Linked DNA regions of Anolis sagrei. The protein of the gene in region 1 purifies or fractionates together with the protein of each later gene. This does not show direct contact. Links are inferred from orthologs where the notes say so. Each region holds a gene or a part of one and is shown in the gene's direction. Other genes may lie near its edges.

What was found.
Region 2: the proteins of EPC1 (region 1) and H2AZ1 purify together in Homo sapiens (affinity purification with mass spectrometry; 4 studies listed by BioGRID and IntAct, with this or other methods). This does not show direct contact. The link is inferred for Anolis sagrei from reciprocal best matches to the Homo sapiens genes EPC1 and H2AZ1.
Region 3: the proteins of EPC1 (region 1) and MRGBP purify together in Homo sapiens (affinity purification with mass spectrometry; 6 studies listed by BioGRID and IntAct, counting the BioPlex papers as one, with this or other methods). This does not show direct contact. The link is inferred for Anolis sagrei from reciprocal best matches to the Homo sapiens genes EPC1 and MRGBP.

What each region holds. Positions count from the first base shown.
Region 1 is NC_090026.1:112,421,119-112,428,710, reverse strand, and holds the start of EPC1 (enhancer of polycomb homolog 1), read left to right. Parts: upstream 1-4,541; 5' UTR 4,542-4,857; coding exon 4,858-5,010; intron 5,011-7,592. UniProt on the Homo sapiens protein: Component of the NuA4 histone acetyltransferase (HAT) complex, a multiprotein complex involved in transcriptional activation of select genes principally by acetylation of nucleosomal histones H4 and H2A.
Region 2 is NC_090025.1:26,582,930-26,590,805, reverse strand, and holds the start of H2AZ1 (histone H2A.Z), read left to right. Parts: upstream 1-4,871; 5' UTR 4,872-5,013; coding exon 5,014-5,016; intron 5,017-5,464; coding exon 5,465-5,542; intron 5,543-7,876. UniProt on the Homo sapiens protein: Variant histone H2A which replaces conventional H2A in a subset of nucleosomes. Nucleosomes wrap and compact DNA into chromatin, limiting DNA accessibility to the cellular machineries which require DNA as a template.
Region 3 is NC_090024.1:234,248,628-234,255,782, forward strand, and holds the start of MRGBP (MRG/MORF4L-binding protein), read left to right. Parts: upstream 1-4,052; 5' UTR 4,053-4,119; coding exon 4,120-4,363; intron 4,364-7,155.

The sequences.
Region 1 (7,592 bases):
CCACAGTCCTGCTGAAGTGACCCTTGTTGACCAGTGCCTCAATTCAAGGATTTTCTTTACATGGTCTCAGAAATTAGAAAGTGCACACTGCATTGTAGAGATTTATATTACACCTAATTACTAACCATAGAAACTGCAGAGGCAAAGATCGTGAAGGACAGTCCAAGTCTTCACCTCATCTGTCTTCTTACTTGGCTGTAGTTTAAACACTTGCAGGAAGTTACAATAAATCAACATTTTCATCAGACACTACTGTGTCAGAGTGCTGCTAAAATATGATGAAATACATGTACATAACAAACACCTACCATTTTGGAGCGAATCTAATCCAGAAACACTTCTTTGCCTGTGTGTTTTCTGAGTAGAGATTCTTTCTTAAGCAAGGGATATTTTGTCATAACTTCTCAGTATATTCTACCCTAACTGCTGTCTTTTACAGTAAATTTAACACGTTCCACTTCCCTTTTATTAAAAGTAAAGGTTTTCCCTGACATTAAGTCTAGTTGTGTCCGACTCTGGGGGGTGGTGCTCATCTCCATTTCTGAGCTGAAGAGCCAGCGTTGTCCGTAGACACCTCCAAGGTCATGTGGCTAGCATAACTGCATGGATTAGTTACCTTCCTGCGGTACCTATTGATCTACTCACATTTTCATATATTAGAACTGCTAGTTTGGCAAAAGCTGGGGCTAACAGCGGGAACTCACTCCGCTGCCTGGATTCAAACTGCCACCCTTTCAATCAGCTCAGTGGTTTAACCTGCTGTGCCACCAGGCCCTTTTATTATGCTTCTCAAATTAGGTGGGCAACCCCATTTTGGAAGTTGTATGTGGTTATGTGCTTCTCAAAAACTATTAATTATAACTGGTTTAAAATGGAAGATTTTAATTCAAAAGACGTAAGAAATATTAGCTTAGTATTTCATATTAGGTGTAGTTGGGGAGAAAATATCAAGTGGTTGCAACCCAAGGGTCCCATCTACACAGTGTAGGCCAGACATGGGCCAACTTCAGCACTCCAGGTGTTTGAACTCCCAAATCCCACAATTGTGGAAGTTCCTTCCTTGGAAATTTTTAAGAAGAGGCTGGATGACCATCTGTCAGGGATACTTTGATTGTCCTTCCTCTGCATGGCAGGGGATTGGACTAAATGTCCCATGTAGTCTCTTCCAACTCTGTTATTCTATGATTCTAAAGCAGGCCTGGGCCAACCTCGCCCCTCCCTCCAAGTGTTTTGGACTCTTAACTCCCACAATTCCTTAAGCAGCTGAGGGGGAAAAGGAAGGGGTCTGAGGCTGTTAGGAATTGTGGGAGTTGAAGTCCAAAACACCTGGACAGCCGAAGTTGGCTCAAATTACAGGAAAGGAGATTCCACCTGAACATTCTTTTATTTAATTATTTATTTAAAACATTTATATTCTACTTTTCTCACCTTAAAGGGGACTCAAGGCAAACATTCAATGCTGGAACATAAAACAAACTATAAATATACAAAAACACTAAAATAAATTATCTCCACTTTAAAATCAATTGTTTTAAACCATCTCATCTCATATTAGGAAGAACTTCCTGACCGTATGAACTGTTCGGCAGTGGGACTCTGTGCCTCGGAGTGTTGCGGAAGCTCCTTCCTTGGAAACTTTTAAACAGAAGATGAATGGCCATCTGTCAGGGATACTTTGACTGTGCTTCTCTGGCAGGGGATGTCCCATGCAGTCTCTTCCAACTCTTATTATTATTTTTTATTCTACAACCAGTAGCTGAGCATAGTGGCCATATACTAAAATTAAGGGGGGAGGCAGGGTTTGTGCAATACAGCTGCAAGGACAGGGCTGATAGAAAAGTGCAGAAGCCAGATGATATGTTTTGACTAGAAAGCCCAAGTCAATTCATGTAGTCAACTACAACTACAGGGGCAGGGACAATGGTAGAGTGCAGTAGCCAGATATTAAGTTATGGCTAGAAGGGCCAAAATTATCTAGTGAACAGGTTACTCAGAAGCACATTGGAATATACACGTCCCCCCCCCCCCCAGTTTAAGCAGCTAAAGGGGAAAAGGAAGGGACCTGAAGCTGTTAGGAATTGTAGGAGTTGGAGTCCAAAACACCTTGGGGGCCGAAGTTTGCCCAGGCCTGTTTGAGCAATCCTTTGCCGCAGAGCGATATAAGGGAGCATCCTATGGTTCTAGAAAAATAATAGGAATTGTTGAAGTTGGGAGTCCAAAACACCTGGAGGGAAGGCCAAGGTTGGCCCAGGCCTGTTGTAAAGGATGCTCAACTTGGAACAGTCCTTAGGCGCGGAGCGATATAAAGGAGTATCCTATGCTCCTAAAATAACAATATAATAATAATTTTTGGATTTAAAATGGGGGAAAAAAGCAGGATTCTATCTTAGAAGTTTCAAAAGTGAGAAGTGTGTTAACCAGGCCTGGGCCAACTTCGGCCCTTCTTCCAGATTCAGACAGGCTATATACTCAGTGTTAAGGCACTACAACAGGCATGTGTAAACATCGGCCCTCTAGGTGTTTTGGACTCCAACTCTCACAATTCCAAACAGCTTCAGGCCCTTCCCCCCACCCCAGCCTCTTATTTTAGAACAGGCCTGAGCAAACTTGGGACCTCCAGCTGTTTTGGACTTCAGTCCCCACCATTCCTAACAGCCTCGGGCCCCGTTCTTTTCCCCCTCAGTTGCTTATGCGGCTCTAGAAGAATATTATATATTCTATATAATATTATAGCAGGCATGGGCAAACTTGAGCCCGCCAGGTGTTTTGGACTTCAACTCCCAACCATTCCTGACAGCCTCAGGCCTCTTCTTTTGGACTTCAATTCCCACCATTCCTAACAGCTTTGGACTTCAACTCCCACCATTCCTAACAGCCTCAGGCCTCTTCTTTTGGACTTCAACTTCCACCATTCCTAACAGCCTCAGGCCTCTTCTTTTGGACTTCAATTCCCACCATTCCTAACAGCTTTGGACTTCAACTCCCACCATTCCTAACAGCTTTGGACTTCAACTCCCACCATTCCTATCAGCCTCAGGCCCCTTCCTTTTGGACTTCAACTTCCACCATTCCTAACAGCCTCAACCCCATTCTTTTGGACTTCAACTCCAACCATTCCTAACAGCTTTGGACTTCAATTCTCACCATTCCTGACAGCCTCAGGCCCCTTCCTTTTGGACTTCCAACTCCCACCATTCCTAACAGCTTTGGACTTCAACTCCCACCATTCCTAACAGCCTTAGGCCCCTTCTTTTGGACTTCAACTCCCACCATTCCTAACAGCTTTGGACTTCAACTCCCACCATTCCTAACAGCTTTGGACTTCAACTCCCACCATTCCTAACAGCTTTGGACTTCAACTCCCACCATTCCTATCAGCCTCAGGCCCCTTCCTTTTGGACTTCAACTTCCACCATTCCTAACAGCCTCAACCCCATTCTTTTGGACTTCAACTCCAACCATTCCTAACAGCTTTGGACTTCAATTCTCACCATTCCTGACAGCCTCAGGCCCCTTCCTTTTGGACTTCCAACTCCCACCATTCCTAACAGCTTTGGACTTCAACTCCCACCATTCCTAACAGCCTTAGGCCCCTTCTTTTGGACTTCAATTCCCACCATTCCTAACAGCTTTGGACTTCAACACCCACCATTCCCAACAGCCTCAGGCCCCTTCCTTTTCCCAAAGGAGGGGCCTGAGGCTGTTAGAAATGGTGGGAGTTGGAGTCCAAAACACTTGGAGGGCCCAAGTTTACCCAGGCCTGTTCTAAAATAAGAGACGGGGGGGGGGGAGGAAGGAGTATAGCCGGTCTGAATCTGGAAAGAGGGCGGAAGTTGGCTTAAGCGGCTTTGGAAGAATATTTGACAGGGTCTATAGCAGGCATGGGCGAACTTGAGCCCTCCAGGTGTTTTGGACTCCAACTCCCACCATTCCTAACAGCCTCAGGCCCTTTCCTTTCCCCCCTCAGCTGCTTTACCTAGACCTGTTCTAAAATAAGAGGCTTAAGCGGCTGAGAGGGGAAAGGAAAGGGCCTGAGGCTGTTAGGAATGGTGGGAGTTGGAGTCCAAAACACCTGGAGGGCCCAAGTTTACCTAGGCCTGTTCTAAAATAGGAGGCTGAGGGGGAAAGGGGGGGGCCTGAGGTTGTCAGGAATGGTGGGAGTTGGAGTCCAAAACACCTGGAGGGCCCAAGTTTGCCCAGGCCTGCTGTAGTGCCTTAACCCTGAGTATATAGCTGGTCTGAATCTGGAAAGAGGGCCGAAGTTGGCTCAGGCCTGGTGTCCAAACACAAGGTTCCCCCGTCAATTCTATAGAATGGCTTGATGTCACAGAGGACGAAATAACCGTCGGGTTTTTCAAAAATCTTCTGGGCGAGAGGTCAAAAAAAGAGGGGGGGGGGACCCCTTCCAAAGTGTGTTTGTGAGGCGGTGCGAAGCATCGCGCCTGTTTCTTTCCAAGCTCTCTCTCTCTCTCCCTCCCGCCAGCCTGCCGCTCGTGCCCGCGCGGTCTCCTGTTGCGCGCGCCCCCTCCTGTCGGCGCCGTGCGCGCGCCCCTTTGCGCGATGCAGTGTGGGAATGGCTGTGGCGCTGGGGTTGGCTGGAAGAGGCGGCCAGTCGAGGAGGTTTAATGTCCGCCATGTTGGCCGCGGCGCGCTGAGCGGAGCCGGAGCGGCGAGGAGGCGGAGGAGGGCGGCGGCGGCGGAGGAGGAGGCGGCGGAGGAGAGGAGCACTCGGCGTCGCCCGGGCCGGGCTCTCCGCGCGGAGCAGCAGCGCCGCCTCCAGCCCCCCTCCCCCGCCCGCCTCCTCCTCCTCCTCCTCCTCCGCCGCCGCCATCATCATCATCCCTGCCGCCGACTAGCATGAGCAAACTGTCGTTCCGGGCCCGGGCGCTGGACGCGTCTAAGCCGCTGCCCGTCTTCCGCTGCGAGGACTTGCCCGACCTGGCCGAGTATGCCTCCATCAACCGGGCCGTGCCGCAGATGCCCACGGGCATGGAGAAGGAAGAGGAGTCGGTACGTGAGAGAGAAAGGAAAAAAACCCCTCCCGCCGCCATCGCCGCCTCTGCGCAGGCACAAAATGGCCGCCATTCCCCCCCTCCCGCCGCCCTCGCCCTCTCGAGCCCTCTCCCTCTGCCTTGAGGAGGAGGAGGAGGAAGGGAGCGGGGAGACAGCGAGCCAGCCGGGCCCCTCCGCGCGCCCTCGGGGTCGCCCTCCCGGCCTCGCTCGCTCTCGGCCCCCCGAAAGGCACAAAGGGCGTCACGTGACGCGACGGGCGGGCGGCCGCCATTTTGTGGAGGCGCTCGTTGGAAGGGCTGGGCCTGGGAGAGGGAAGGCAGGCAACGCTAGGTGGCGCCTGCGCCTCGCGCTCCCAGCTGGGGAGAAAGGAAGTCCAGGCTGGCCATGTGGTGTTGCTGCTGCTGCTGCGCGCGCCCCGCGTGTTCTCCTCTCTTCCCAGGCTCGCACTCCAGGAGTGGTCCCCTCACTTTTGGGCCTCCAGGTGGTTTGGGACTTCCAACTCCCAGAAATCCCAGCCACCTCAACAGCTTTTATTTCACTCGTATCAAACACATTTCAAAAAATTAGTATATACTAATTTTTGCATAGTATATACTAATGAATATATAAACACTAAACAATTCAAATAAACAAATGCAGCAAAACACTATGAAGATACTAAAAGACTCTCCAGGTGTTTTGGACTTCAACTTTCACTGTTCCTGGCTCTTTGGAATTGTGAGAGTTGAAGTCCAAAACATCTGGAGGGCCAAAGTTTATGAGGTAGACATAAAACATACCTTGTATAGCAGGGTTTCTCAACCTGCGGGTCGGGACCCCTGGAGGGGTCGTGAGGGGGTGTCAGAGGGGTCACCAAAGGCCATCAGAAAACACAGTATTTTCTGTTGGTCATAAGGGTTCTTTATGGGAAGTTTGCCCCAATTCTATTGTTGGTAGGGTTCAGAATGCTCTTTGATTGTAGGTGAACTATAAATCCCAGCAACAACAACTCCCAAATATCAGGGTCTGGTTCCTCCAAACTCCACCAGTGTTCACATTTGGGCATATTGAGTATTTGTGCCAAGTTTGGTTCAGAGCCTTAATTGTTTGAGTCTACAGTTCTCTCTGGATGTAGATGAACTACAACTCCAAAACTCAAGGTCAATGCCCACCAAAAGCTTCCAATATTTTCTGTTGGTCATGGGAGTTCTGTGTGCCAAGTTTGGTTTGATTAGATCATTGATGGAGGTTAGAATGCTCTTTGATTGTAGGTGAACTATAAATCCCAGCAACGACAACTCCCAAATGTCAGGGTCTTTTTACCCCAAACTCCACCAGTGTTCACATTTGGGCACATTGAGTATTTGTGCCAAATTTGGTCCATTGAATTAAAATATGTCCTGCAAATCAGATATTTACATGACGATTAATAACAGTAGCAAAATTACAGTTAGGAAGTAGTAAAAAAAATTATGGTTTGGGGTCACCACAACATGAGGAACTCCATTAAGGGGTCGTGGCATTAGGAAGGTTGAGAAACCCTGTTGTATAGTATATACTAATTAATATATAAACACTAAACAATTCAAATGAACAAATGCAGCAAAACACTAAAACACCCTCCAGGTGTTTTGGACGTCAACTCTCACAGTTCCTGGCTCTTTGGAATTGTGAGAGTTGAAGTCCAAACTATCTGGAGGGCCGAAGTTTATGACATAAAACATACCTACTTATTATTATTATTTATTGTTCTTATACCCCGCTACCATCTCCCGCAGGACTCGGTGCGGCTTACAAGAGGCCTAGCCCCACAACATCACAAAACAACCACAACAAAACAATGAAGATTTGGAGTGTCTACTGGGGTGCAGGAACTAATAATAATAGGGTTGCTGTGAGTTTTCCGAGCTGTATGGCCATGTTCCAGAAGCATTCTCGCCTGACGTTTCACCCACATCTATGACAGCTATCCTCAAAGGTTGTGAGGTATATTGGAAACTAGACAAGGTACTTCACAACCTCTGAGGCTGCCTGCCATAGATGTGGGCGAAATATAAGGAGAGAATGCTTCTGAACATGGCCAAACAGCTCGGAAAACTCACAGCAACCCAGTGATTCTGGCCATGAAAGTTTGTGTTTATAGACTCTCTGGGTCGGCTTGCTAGAATAGACAGGCCTACTCTGAGTTGATGGTTTTGACCTTTAAACCCTACATGGTTTGGATCCAGGTTACCCGCCCACACACTTTGGTCTTCTGGGGGGTGTCTTAAGACTTGTGTCTTAAATTCTGACAGCTGATCCAGGTGTCAGAGCTCTATGGGCAGGTCGTTCCACAGCCTTGTGGCGTTCGATGAAAAGGTTGTCTGGGTGGTGGCTGCCACTCCACTCGGGTTCTGGCTGGTTGGAGCAGACACCCCCCAGAAGACCAAAGTGTGTGGGTGGGTAACCTGGACCCAAACTATGTAAGGTTTTAAAGGTCAAAACCATCAACTTGTTCTTTGCCCAGAAACTAATTGGAGTGACTTTAGGATAGGTGTAATATGCTCACTCCTAGATCTTCCTGTAACCAAACTAAGGACTAATTTGGGACAGTTTTCCAA
Region 2 (7,876 bases), on another chromosome or scaffold:
AGGCTGAAGAAATCCAACACCTGGCAGATACTCATGATGCTCAGGGATATTTCAAAGCCACAAAGGTAATCTATGGACCAAGAAACCATAGCATACAGCCTCTACGCTCATCAGAAGGAACCAAACTTCTGAAGGAAAAAAAAACCAATTGCACTACGTTGGAAAGAACACTACCAAAGCCTCCTGAATCGCAGCTCCAATGTGGCCGAAGAGGTTCTCTCACAAGTCCTGCAACAACAAACCAGGGATGAGCTTGCAGCACTGCCTAGTCTGGAAGAAGTCAGCAATGCCATCAGCCAACAAAAAAAAAAATAACAAAGCCAGCGGACCTGATGGGATCTTTGCTGAAATCTTTAAAGAGGGTGGACCTGAGCTGACACAACAACTCCACCAGCTCATTGAAAAAGTGTGGGTGACCAAGAAAATCCCAGCAGATTTCAAGGATGCAACCATCATCACCTTTTCTAAAAAAAAAAAAAAAAAAAAGGGGGGGGGGGGGAGAACAGACTGCGGAAACTATCAAGGTATCTCCCTTCTAACCTCCGCTGGGAAAATCCTTGCAAGAACCGCCTTCTACCCCTCTCAGAAGACACCCTCCCAGAATCCCAGAACGGCTTCCGCCCCTCCAGAGGAACAGTGGACATGATCTTCACTGCACGACAACTCCAAGAAAAATGCAGGGAACAAAATCAACCTCTGTACATGGCATTCATCGACCTTGCAAAGTAATTCGACACAGTGAATCACAGCGCTCTCTGGACCATCCTCCAAAAAATCAGATGCCCTAACAAATTTGTGAACACCTTGCGGCTCCTCCATGATGACATGATGGCAACAGTCTTGGACAGCAATGGCTCCCAAAGTGACCCATTTAAGGTGGAATCAGGTGTCAAACAGGGATGTGTTATTGCCCCAACCCTATTTTCCATCTTCATCGCTATGATACTTCATCTTGTTGATGGAAAGCTTCCCACCGGAGTGGAAATCATATATCAGACAGATGGCAAACTATTTAACCTCAGCAGACTGAAAGCCAAAACCAAGGTTACAACAACATGTTATAGAACTCCAATATGCTGATGACAAAGTTGTCTGTGTGCATTCAGAATAAGACCTACAAGCCACTCTAAACACCTTTGCAGAAGCATATGGGAAGTTCGGCCCGTCATTGAACATCGAGAAAACCAAAGTGCTCTTCCAGCAGTCACTAGGCAATCCCTCTCCAATGCTAGAAACACAGCTTAATGGTGTAACATTAGAAAATGTTGACCATTTCCGCTACCTTGGCAGCCACCTCTCCACAAAAGTCAACATTGACACTGAAATACAACACTGCCTTAGCTCTGCCAGTGCAGCTTTTTTCTGAATGAAGCAGAGAGTGTTTGAGGACTGGGACATCCGTAGGGATTTCAAGGTGCTTATTTATAAAGCTATTGTCCTCCCAACCCTGCTATATGCCTGCAAGTTGTGGACTGTCTACAGACATCACATGCATCTCCTGGAATGATTCCATCAGTGCTGCCTCCAGAAAATCCTGCAAATCTCTTGGGAAGACAAGCGGACAAATATCAGCGTGCTGGAAGAAGCAAAGACCACCAGCATTGAAGTTATGGTCCTCCGCCATCAACTCCGCTGGACTGGCCACGTTGTCTGGATGCCCAACCACTGTGTCCCAAAGCAGTTGCTCTACTCCAAACTCAAGAACAGAAATTGGAATGATGGTGGACAGGAAAAAAGATTTAAAGATGGGTTCAAAGCCAACCTTAAACACTCTGGCATAGACTGAGAACTGGGAAGCCCTGGCCCTTGAGCGCTCCAGCTGGAGGTCAGCTGTGACCAGCAGTGCTGTAGAATTTGAAGAGGCACGAATGGAGGGCGAAAGAGAGAAACGTGTCAAGAGGGAGGCACATCAAGCCAACCCAGAATGGGACCACCTTCCACCTGGAAACCAATGCCCTCACTGTGGGAGAAGATGCAGATAAAGAAGAGGGCTCTATAGTCACCTACAGACCCACCGCCACTTATCTTGGAAGACTATCCTACTCGGACAACGAGGGATTGCCTAAGTAAGTAAAGTACAGAAAGGAGATTTGTGGATGAGGAATTCATAATACCCCACACTGTTACCGGGCAGTTTGGGTTGTTAAAAAAAACAACTTTGTAGGTGAGGTATTTGCTCATCTCTGAAACTGGAACTATCAATATATGTATATGAATGCAAAGGGGTCATATAGCATATTGGAGGCTGAGGGCCCTTCCATACAGACTTTAAAGTCCAGGATCTGATCCCAGCTTTTCTGGGATAAACAGAAAACCAGTTGAATCATGTGAAGTGCCTAAGAATAGAACATATGAGGATGCTGTGGACTCTTCTACACTGCCATATAAAATCCAGGTTATATGCTTTGAACTGGATTATTTGGAATATAGACTCATATAATCCAGTTCAAAGCAGATAGTGAATTATCTGCTTTGACATTGACATCTCCGGACCATTCTCTGTTCTGGTATCAGCCAGCAAGCCAACACTTTAAATCAAGAAGCAGCTTCCTAAGATCTACAGAGATACTTGCAGGAACACCTCAGCAAGCAAGAATCCAAAAGTGGCAGGTTAAAACCTGAAACTGGCTGATACCAGATGAGAAACTCCCTCAGGGCACACAGAAGGCTGCGTGACTTGGAAGGCGCTGAACAGACTGCGCTCTGGCACCACGAGATGCGGAGCTAACCTTAAGGAATGGGGCCATAAAGTGCCGCCCACGACATGCGAGTGCGGACAAGAGCAAACCGCAGACCACTTACTACAATGCAACCTGAGCCCTGCCACATGCACAATGGTGGATCTTCTTACAGCCACACCAGAGGTACTGCAAGTGGCCAGCTTCTGGTTAAAAGAAATGTAGTAGAATGCCAAGCTTTTAACTTTATGGTTTTTATATGAATTATAACTGCATTCTCAATTCACTTCTGGCACAATAAATAAATACCCAAACACCACAGTTCAACAATAAGTAATAAGTTTATTAAGAAAAAGGTATATAATAGAAAAGATAGTTTCAAAAATAATCCAGAAGTAATTCCAAAATTAGCAGACTAAGCAATCACAAAAGTACAATAAAAAAGCAGACTGTAAATACATTTTCAAAGTTATATCCATAAGCTCGATATTCTGGAGCTGTTCTACTCCAGAAACTTCATTTTTGTGGCTGTCACAAACTAGGTTGAATTGGTTGAGACTCTATGACAGGGGTCCTCAAACTAAGGCCCGAGGGCCAAATACGGCCCTCCGAGGTCATTTACCTGGTCCTCGCTCAGGGTCAACCTAAGTCTGAAATGACTTGAAAGCACACAACAACAACAACAACAACAACAACAACAACAACAACAACAATCCTAACCAATCTTGCCAAGAAAACCCTGTGACAACAACGGTTACCATTAGTCGAGAACCACTTGAAGGTACACATGGTAGATGCAATGCACAGCAGTTAGTATTCCTCTATAACAGACATTGGCAAACTTGGGCCCTCCTGGTGTTTTGGACTTCAACTCCCACCATTTCTAACAGCCTCAGGCCCCTTCCTTTCCAGTTCGGCGCGAGGAAGGGGCCTGAGGCTGTTAGAAATGGTGCGAGCTGCAGTCCAAAAGACCTGAAGGGCTGAGGAAGAAATGGAAAGTGCCTGAGGCTGTTAGGAATTGTGGGAGTCGAAGTCCAAAACACCTGGAGGGCTGAAGGAGAAAAGTGCCTGAGGCTGTTAGGAATTGTGGGAGTTGAAGTCCAGAAGACCTGGAGGGCTGAGGGAGAAATTGAAAGGGCCTGGGGATGTTAGGAATTGTGGGAGTTGAAGTCCAGAAGACCTGGAGAGCTGAAGGAGAAAAGGAAAGGGCTTGAGGCTGTTAGGAATTGTGGGAGTTGAAGTCCAAAACACCTGGAGGGCTGAAGGAGAAAAGAAAAGTTCCTGAGTCTGTTAGGAATTGTGAGAGTTAAAGTCCAAAACACCTGGAGAGCTGAAGGAGAAAAGGAAAGGGCCTGGGGCTGTTAGGAATTGTGGGAGTTCAAGTCCAGAAGACCTGGAGGGCTGAAGGAGGAAAGGAAAGTGCCTGAGGCTGTTAGGAATTGTGGGAGTTGAAGTCCAAAACACCTGGAGGGCTGAAGGAGAAAAGGAAAGTGCCTGAGGCTGTTATGAATTGTGGGAGTTGAAGTCCAAAAGACCTGGAGCGCTGAAGGAGAAAAGGGAAGGGCCTGAGACTGTTAGGAATTGTGGGAGTTGAAGTCCAAAACACCTGGAGAGCTGACGGAGAAAAGGAAAGGGCCTGAGGCTGTTAGGAATGGTGGGAGTTGAAGTCCAAAAGAAGTGGTGGGCCCAAGTTTGCTCATGCCTGCTTTATAATTTTCCCTACAATCCAGTTTTAGTGGAACCTACAGCCCTTTTAAGTATTTTGGACTTCAACTCCCAGAATTCCTGAGAGTGGTCCACGCTGGCAGGGGCTTCTGGGAGTTGAAGTCCCCAAGGACTAAAACGCTCAGAAGAGTTTCTCTTCACAGGAAAGTGGGGAAATTTATATATTTTTTAATTGAGAAAAAGGAACCAGCTGCAAAGAGGAGAGTGGGGATGTCTCTTTATTGAGTGGTGATGGGAGAGAGAAACGTTCCAGGCGGGGAAGGAGAGCAGAGAGAGGAAAGAACAGAGAGAAACGCCTCTGGGGGCTCAGGTGGGCGGGGCCTATACGGGACAGTTCGGCGCGAGACGCTCCGAACGCAAGCCCCTCCCCCTCCCTCCTGCTCGGCTTCCTATTGGTCCTCCCGGGGCGCAGGGGGAGCCGCCTCATTGTGCCGATTGGCTGGTTTGACGACGCGAGGCCCCGGATGACGGGACGTTAGAGCCGCCTATAAAGGGCTCGGGGAAGGCGGGAGCGGGCGCAGTTTTGAACTGGCGCCGCCGTCTTCGCATCGTCAGGGAGGTCTGCGCTCAGTTCTGCTTTCGTGTGTCTCATTCCAAGGCCTCATTCGAAATGGTAAGCGAGGGTGAAGCGGATCAGGGCAGATTAGGGGAAAGAAAGGGGAAAAAATTGTGAAGGGAGCGCGTGATGCGCCCTAGTCTCGTGCTGTCGGCTGCCTGGCATAAGGAATACCCGGATGGGGAAAGAAAGAGGGAGAGGCTAGAGGACAGTGAGGGGCGCGGTGGGAGAAGAGTGACGCGCATGCGCCCGGGAGTAAGGCTCGTGGAGGACCTACCGCGCATGCGCCTCGGCTCCGACGCCTTATAGAATGGGGGGGAGGGAATGCTGTGAAGAGGAGACTGCGCACGCGCGGGCCTGCCTACCTCTCGCGCGCCCTCTCCGCCCCAAGCCCTTGCGTCACGTGGGAGCCAGCCCGCGGCGGGGCGGGGGTGGTTGCTAAGGAGGAGGAGGCCACGTGTTGACTTGCCTTGCCTCTTCTGCTTCTTTCTCTGTGCTCTTCTAGGCCGGTGGCAAAGCTGGGAAAGACTCTGGGAAGACCAAAACCAAGACGGTGTCCCGTTCACAGAGAGCTGGCTTGCAGGTGGGCACTTGGGGGGTGTTGCAAAGCGTTCGGCCTTGTCTTGCGTCCTTCTAGGAAGGAAAAAGTTGATAGAATCAAAGAGTTTATTTATTTATTTGGGGTTCTTTTACCCCGCCCTTCTCACCCCGAGGGGGACTCAGGGCGGCTTACAAAGGCAAAGGCACAATTCGATGCCTGCATCATAAAACAATCATACACAAAATTACAACAATTCATGCATTATAACCATAAAATCAATAAAACCAATACAAACCCAGTTTCGCCTCTTACATGGTCAGCGTTCGCTAGCTCATAGATCTAGTTTTACATTCCACTTCATCAATCCTGTTGGACATACTCGCCTGGTTGTCTGATTTAATTGCCAGAGTGCCCAAAGGCCTGGTCCCATAACCACATCTTCACCCTCCTGGAGGCGAGGAGGGATGGTGATGCCCTGATTTCCCCCGGGAGTGAATTCCACAGGTGAGGGGCCACCACTGAGAAAGCCCTGCTCCTCGTCCCCACCAGCCTCACTTGTGACAGTGGTGGGGTCGAGAGCAGGGCCCCCCCCAGATGATCTCAGACTCCGGGTGGGACGTAGAGGGAGATACGTTCGGACAGATACACTGGACCGGAACCGTACAGGTTTTTGTAGGTTAAAACCAGCACCTTGAGTTGTGCTCGGAACTGAGTTGGGAGAGACCACGTCCAGTCCCAACCCCCTTTCCATGCATTAAGATGCAGCCCCAATGGAAAAGGCACGGGCAAACTTCGGTCCTTCCTCCAGGTGTTTTGAACTTCAACTCCCACAATATATTGTATTTTTATTTATTTATTTACTTCATTTATATACTGCTTTTCTCAACTCTTAGGCAACTCAAAACGGTTAACAACAGCAATTTCAATACACACATTACAAAACCATTGGAGCATTTAAAAACAAATAGCATAACAACAAACATCAATATTTATTTATTTATTTACGGCATTTATATGCCGCCCTTCTGACCCCTAAGGGGACTCAGAGCGGCTTACAATATATATTTTAGGTTCTTCTGGTTTTTTTCGGGCTATAGGGCCATGTTCTAGAGGCATTTCTCCTGACGTTTCGCCTGCATCTATGGCAAGCATCCTCAGAGGTGGTGAGGGTGCTTGCCATAAATGCAGGCGAAACGTCAGGAGAAATGCCTCTAGAACATGGCCCTATAGCCCGAAAAAACCCACAAGAACCTAGTGATTCCAGCCATGAAAGCCTTCGACAATACAATATATATTTTCATACAATATATTATATTATTAGCGTAGTACAATATCAGTATAATATTAGTATATTGCACTGTACCATTATATTGTATTACATTATAATATTATAAATATATGTATATATAATATACTATATTATATTATTAGTAAAGACAAGATGGAAATCATTCACGTCTCATCAATAGAATCAGAATCCAATATCATCATCCGTTACTCCGTGTTCCTATAATCAATTACACTGCCTAATCGAATGCCTGTTCGAACAACCGGGTCTTCACTTTCCTCCGAAATGCCAATAAGGAGGGGGCCAATCTGATATCTGTAGGAAGGGCATTCCACAGCTGAGGGGCCACCACTGAAAAGGCCCTGACTCTCGTCCCCGCCATTATAATCAATATAATATTGATTATATTATCAATATTATACACATATAATATTGATAATGTAATACAATATGATTCTAACAATATAGTAATTGTATATTTTATATTACAGTATAGTGGTATAGTACAATATGTAAATAAAAATGTAATGTTCGTTTGTGGGAGTAACATAGCTCAAAAACCACTGGACGAATTGACACCAAATTTGGACACAATACATCTATCAGACCAATGAGTGACCATCACTCATAAAAACACTGAAAAACCCAGCAGAAAAGACTCAAAAAAGCAAAAAAAAAATTACAATTCATGTACATAACCACATATATACACACACAAAACACATACACAAACTGGCCATAGCAACGAGTGGCAGGGGATAGCTAGTAGTAATATGTAATACTAATGTACTGTGCTAATAATATATTATATACATGTATAATATTGATAATATGTAATGCAATATAATACTAGTAATACAATATAATTGTATATTTCATATTACATGTAACATTACTAATAATATTACAGTATATTGGTATAGTATAATACAGTCATATAATAATAATGTGCTGTTCTAATAATATGTATTGTATGTACATATAACTTGTAAGCCTCTTTAAGTCCCCTTCAGGGTAAAAAGGCTGCTTATAAATGTTGTAAATAAATAGAATTCCTAACAGCCGGAAGACTGTTAGGAACTGTGGGA
Region 3 (7,155 bases), on another chromosome or scaffold:
AGAAAGGAAGAAAAAGAAAGGAAGAAGAAGAAAGGAGGAAGAAGAAAGGAGGAAGGAGGAGGAAGAAGGAGGAGGAGGAAGGAGGAGGAGGAAGGAGAAGGAGGAAGAAGGTGGAGGAGGAAGGTGGAGGAGGAAGGAGGAGGAGGAAGGAGGAAGAAGAAGGGAGAGTAAGGAAGAGGAAGAGTAAGGAAGGAGGGAGGAAGGAAGAGGAAGAGTAAGGAAGAGGAAGAGGAAGGAAGAGGAAGAGTAAGGAGGAGGAAGAGGAAGAGGGAGGAAGAGGAAGGAAAAGGAAGAGGAAGGAAGAAGGAAGAGGAAGAAGAAGGAAGAGAAAGAAGAAGACGAAGAAGAAACTGCACAGTTCCAAAGGTAAAGCACTGAGATTTCTCATCTTAAGTATTTCCTTACTGTTTTCAAGTTGTTTTTTTTTAATCATTTTTGCAAAAGTTCCAGCCTTTTACTAGTCCTTTTTGCAAAAGATGCAGCACATGTATGTCCCTTTAGGTCTAGGCAAGCTTTGCCAATCAAAAGTATGATTCTGAATATGATTTTCCTGCTTCTTGGCAGGGGGCTGGACTGGACAGCTCACGAGATCTCTTCCAATTCTATGATTCTATAATTCTTTGATTCTTACTGCACCTCCTACTGGCAGAATACACAAATCTGGGCTTGTAATTACAAAATGTATGTTATTGTTGTTATTGTTAATCATTTCCTTTCTGTTTGCAAGTCTGTCTTGCAAAACATCCACCTCTTGCATCCATGGTACTTTGGGCTTAGTTTGCCAATCAAAAGTACATCTTTCCCTTACAGAATACACAACTTCTATTGTGTATTCTGCTCCTTACAGAATACACAACTTGTATTGCGTATTTGTAGTTGGTATAAACTTTAGTGTGTGTCTTATATTTGACGGCATCTTAGAACTGGAAAAATGTGGTAATGTGAAAAACTTGGTATAGCAAGTTGTTGAAGTCTCATAGTTGTGCTATTCTTCCAGAAAAATACATTTAAAAGGGGGACAAAGAGAAGGATTGAGAGGAGAAAAATTCCAGCAACTGTGGCAAGTGTTGTTGTTGTTCTCCTTCTTCCTCTTCTTCTTGTATTTGTCTGTAAAAGAAAACTCAAAGGTTTCTTCAAGTGCTTGCACATAGATTTGTGCCATAAGATCAGTTTGTTATCCTGGTCTTCCCCAGTTCAAAGCAAAATGGGTTTGCAACACAGAATCCATTTTTAGATCTTTGTTCAGAGAGGTCCTAAGTTTAATGCTCTGTGGTTTTTCCATTGGTGATGTTTAGCTGAACTTACTCGTGAACCCATTAACTTGCTTTAAGTGTTTGAAAGAACCTGTCATCATTATAGGTACACTGCAAGGTAAGTGCCAGTACTCTTCATTGCGGCTGGGTGTCTGAATGTGTCAACAACTTTCTTTCCCTCTTTGGTTCCTTAAAAAGGTCATTTGTGAAGTACGAGAAACTTCATCATTTGGAATTTCTGCTGGTGTTGTTGAATACCGCCTCAAAGTGTATCTATGATACCAGAGTGATTTGTGCTGCTTAATGTCAGCCGGCAGATTAAAAATTCAATTTAATAACAAACCACGGTAGTCTCATCTCCCAAGCAACACAGACTTTGCCTCATCTTTGTTGAAGCAAGCAACAAAGGACTTTATTTCTGTGTAAGCCTTGTAAAAAGAAACAAAGGACTTTATTTGACATGTCTTAATCTGACCCTAAGCTATGCCACTTTTACGAGACTCAACGGGTATCTTCTTCTACCAATTATGCAAAGTTTTAATTGGGAGTGTGTTTAGAAGCCCTTATAGAACGTAGGGGTAAACCCAGGCCCTTTGGGCTCTTTTCTCAGGCCCTCCTGTTTCTCACCATCCTATCCTTCCTTTCTTCTCTCTTTCCTTCCTCCTTCCCTCCCTCTTTCCCCTTCCCTTCCACCTTTTCATCCTTTCTTCCTCTTTTCTTCCTCCTTCCTTCTTTCTTTCTCAATCTCTCCTTCCCTCCCTTCCTTTTGTCCTTCCTTCCTACCTTCTCTCCCTTTTTCCTTCCTTCGCTCCCTTTTGTGTTTTCTTCCTTTTCTCTTTCCTTCCTCCTTCCCTTCCTTTCTTCCTTCCCTCCCATTCTCCTTCCCTTTCCATCCTTTCCATCCTTTCGTCCTTCCCTCCCTCCCTTTTTCTTTACATCCTTCCCTCCCACCCTTTCGTCCTTCCTTCCTTCCGTTTTGTCATTCCTTCCCTCTCTTTTTCCTTCCTCCTTCCCTTCCTTCCATCCTTTTATCCTTCCTTCCCTTTTGTCTTTCCTTCCTTTCCTCTTTACTCTCTCCTTCCCTCTCTTCCTCTTTCTCCTTCCATCCTTCCCTTCCGCCCTTTCATCTTTTCTTCCTTCTCTCTTTCCTTCCTCTTTCCCTTTCTTTCTTCCATCACCGGGCAGCCAGTCCTCCTAGCAGGGAATGATAGCATATGGTCCCCAAGTTAGAAAGTTTGTCCATGCCTGCCTTATAGTTCGATGCTCCAAACTACAGCTTAGTTTGTGTCTAAATCTGTAAACAAATTTATTGTGTGTGGTTTATAGCTATTTCACAGCTGGAGGTCAACTGTGACAAGCAGTGCTGCAGAATTTGAAGAGGCACGAATGGAGGGCAAAAGAGAGAAACGTGACAAGAGGAAGGTGTGTCAAGCCAACCCCGACTGGGGCCGCCTTCCACTTATGAACCAATGCCCTCACTGCCGCCTTCCACTTATGAACCAATGCCCTCACTGCAGGAGATATATTTATTTATCGTGTCATCCACAACCAGAACATTGTATTACATTTCTAACAGAACAAAACAAACAAACAGATAAAAAAACAACACAAATTTTGCAAACTTGGTAGCTGATTAAATGTCCTTTGACCAGTATCTGGCCACTTGGAGTGCCTCTGGTGTTGCCGCAAGAAGGTCCTCCATCGTGCATGTGGCAGGGCTCAGGTTGCATTGCAGCAGGTGGTCTGTGGTTTGCTCTTCTCTGCACTCGCATGTCGTGGATTCCACTTTGTACCCCCTTTTCTTAAGTTTGGCTCTGCATCTCGTGGTGCCAGAGCGCAGTCTGTTCAGCGCCTTCCAAGTCGCCCAGCCTTCTGTGTGCCCAGAGGGGAGTCTCTCATCTGGTATCACCCACGGATTGAGGTGCTGGGTTTGAGCCTGCCACTTTTGGACTCTCGCTTGCTGGGGTGTTCCAGCGAGTGTCTCTGTAGATCTAAGAAAACTATGTCTTGATTTAAGTCGTTGACGTGCTGGCTGATACTCAAACAGGGGATGAGCTGGAGATGTCTCTGCCTTGGTCCTTTCACTATTGGCTGCTACTTCCCGGCAGATGTCAGGTGGTGCAATACCGATTAAGCAGTGTAATTTCTCTAGTGGTGTGGGGCGCACACACCCTGTGATAATGCGGCATGTCTCATTAAGAGCCACATCTACTGTTTTAGTGTGGTGAGATGTGTTCCACACTGGGCATGCAGACTCAGCAGCAGAGTAGCATAGCGCAAGGGCAGATGTCTTCACTATGTCTGGTTGTGATCCCCAGGTTGTGCCAGTCAGCTTTCGTATGATGTTGTTTCTACCGCCCACTTTTTGTTTGATGTTCAGGCAGTGCTTCTTGTAGGTCAGAGCACGGTCCAAAGTGACTCCCAGGTATTTGGGTGCGCTGCAATGCTCCAGTGGGATTCCTTCCCTGGTAATCCTCAGAGCTCGGGATGCTTGTCTGTTCTTAAGGTGAAAGGCACATGTCTGTGTTTTAGATGGATTAGGGATCAGTTGGTTTTCCCTGTAGTAGGCAGTAGGAGCACCTAGAGCTTCGGAGAGCTTCTATTGTACCATCTCAAAGCTCCCTGCTTGAGTGGTAATGGCACGATCATCAGCATAGATGAAACTCTATGTCCCTTCTGGCAGTGGCTGGTCATTTGTGTAAATGTTGAACATGGATTATTATTGTGATGACTCAGTGATGGGAATCTGCGTTCCTTCTGAAGTGTAATACACGACTCGGCCTCGAGGGGGCGCTGTTCGCTAAGGGCGCTGCTGTGCGGCCTAGACGCGAGCGCGCATCCTCGGCCTGTGTTAGCGGAGCAGGCCATGGGCGAAGCCGAGAGCTCGGCCGGGACTGCGGCGGAGGGGAAGCCGCCTTGCCCCGCCGTGGGGACTGCGACGGAGGAGGAAGCCGCGGCGTCCACCACGGCCTTGACGACCTCCTCCTCGTCCTCTTCCATGGCGACTGCGCTCCCCCCGCCTCTGCCGCCTCTCCCCGCGCCGCCCGTGGTCTGGAGCCCCGAGGTGGAGGTCTGCCTCTTCCACGCCATGCTGGGACACAAGCCCGTCGGTGAGAAACAGAGCGAGAAAACAGAGCGAGAAAGGACCAGGCCGCAGATGAAGCCTCGGGCTCGAGTAGCTCCACTGCCCGAGGAGGAGGCGGGGCCGGCTGGGGAGAGGGTGGGAGGGAACTCCGTCTGTGCCTGCCTCTTTCTCTTCGGACTTCAACTCCCAGAAGCCTCTGCCGCTTTGGCCAATCAGCAGGCATTCTGGGAACTGAAGTCCCAAACCCCTGGAAGGCCCATTCGAATGAATGAATACAGTTTGACCCTGTCTTGGGATTTGTACTTTGGCAGAGAGGGGTGAAGGCCTGGTGGAACTACAACTCCCATGATTCCATAGCATTCAGCCATGACAAAATGCATTCAATCATGGGCCTATTGTAATGTTTACACATAACTTACACTCCCCCTGAAGCCACAGGTCCGCAGTTTGGGGGTCCTCTTGGATTCAACGCTCACACTTGAGGCTCAGGCGTCGGCGGTGTCTGGGAGGGCTTTCGCACAACTGAGACTCGTGCGCCAACTGCGACCGTACCTCGCGAAGACGGATCTGGCCGGAGTGGTCCATGCCTTGGTCACCTCCAGATTGGACTACTGCAATGCGCTCTACGTAGGGCTGCCCTTGAAGACTGGTCCAACGAGCAGCAGCCAGGATGTTAACTGGGGCTCCTTACAGAGAGAGGTCAACCCTCCTGTTCAAGGAGCTCCACTGGCTGCCATTTATTTTCCGAGCCCAATTCAAGGTGCAGTTGCTTACCTACAAAGCCCTGAACGGTTTGGGACCAGCCTACCTGCGTGACCGCATCTCCATCTACGAACCCACACGTTCACTTCGGTCATCTGGAGAGGCCCTGCTCGTGATCCCGCCTGCGTCGCAAGCGCGCTTGGTGGGGACACGAGACAGGGCCTTTTCCGTGGTGGCCCCCCGACTCTGGAACACCCTCCCCAAAGACCTTAGACAGGCCCCTACATTGGCTGCCTTCAGAAAGAACTTGAAGACCTGGCTTTTCCGATGCGCCTTCCCAGATTAGGAAATCTCCACTACCAAGTCCCATAAGCACTTTATCAGAACCAATGATTGCTGCACACCGCACATCGCACTTGCCCTAGAAGCCCTATATACACTTTTGATCTTGTACCCATTACTCTGGCCCGGCCCAGTTTTATTGTGTTTAGTGTATTGTGCCTGTTGTTTATTTTGCTTTATTCTGTTTTTAATTGTTTGATTTGCTTAGATTGTATTGTTGTGTTGTGTGTTGAGGCCTCGGCCTGTGTAAGCCGCATCGAATCCTTTGGGAGATGCTAGCGGGGTACAAATAAAGTTTAATAATAATAATAATAACTATTATTATTATAACAGGCCTAGGCAAATTGGGACCTCCAGGTGTTTTGGACTTCAACTCCCACAATTCCTAACAGCCTCAGGCCCTTTCCTTTCCCCCCCTCAGCCACTTAAGCAAGTAATTAAAAAAAACCAAAGACAATAAATTACACAACATTATCAATAAAACAACACATAATTAAAAACAGTGGGAAGGCCAAATGTAGAGTTAAAATTGGAAATAATGCTGGGACATGAACGCAAGGTGATACTGGTGTTTGTGGAAGGGCATATGAGCAGACTTAAAGAAATGTAAAGTGTATTGTCGAAGGCTTTCATGGCTGGAATCACTAGGTTCTTGTGGGTTTTTTCGGGCTATAGGGCCATGTTCTAGAAGCATTTCTCCTGATGTTTCGCCTGCATCTATGGCAAGCATCCTCAGAGGTAGTGAGGTCTGTTGGAATTAGGACAATTAGGACAATATATCTGTGGAATGGCTGGGGTGGGGCAAAGAGCTCTTCCCTGCTGGAGCTAGGTGTGAATGTTTCAACTGACCAACTTCATTAGCATTTGAAGGCCTGGCTGAGCCTGGGAAAATCTTTTGTTGAGAGGTGTTAAGATGTGCCTGGTTGTTTCCTCTCTGCTGTTTTGCTGTTGTAATTTTAGAGTTTTTTAAATACTGGTAGCCAGATTTTGTTCATTTTCATGGTCTCTTCCTTTCTGCTGAAATTGTCCACATGCTTGTGGATTTCAGTGGCTTCTCTGTGTAGTCTGAGATGGTGGTTGTTGGTGTGGTCCAGCATTTCTGTGTTCTCAAATAATATGCTGTGTCCAGGCTGGTTCATCAGGTGCTCTGCTATGGCTGACTTCTCTGGTTGAAGTAAAGTGGTTAAATGTAAAGCGCTTTGGAGGACAAAGTGCTATGGGATCATCCCTATATCACAGAATGTCAAGGCAGAAAATCCAAAAATACCTGCTTTGGACTGGGTTAACTGAGTCCACACTGCCATATATTCCATTTCAAAGCAGATAATGTGGGATTTTATTCAACTGTCTGGAAGGGGCTTAAGGCCCCTTCTACACTGCCATATAAAATCCAGATTATCTGCTTTGATTATATGGCAGTGTCGATTTACATAATCCAGTTCAAAGCAGATAATAAGACTGGAATAAGACTCTGTCCAGTTCTGTGCAAAGCACTCCAAGAAGAATATGGACAAGCTGGAATGTGTCCAGAGAAGGACAGCCTTGATGGCAAAAAAGTCTGGAAGCCAAGCCTTGTGAGGAAAGGCTTGGAGTGCTTAGCTTGGAGAAAAGAAGTCTGGGAGAAAGGAACATGATATCCCTGTTTAAATATTTGAAAGGATGTCTCATTGATGAGGAGGCAAGCTTGTTTTCTGCGGTTCTGAAGACTAGGACATAGAGCAGGACTTCAACTCTCACAATTCCTAACAGCTGGTAGGCTGTTAGGAATTGTGG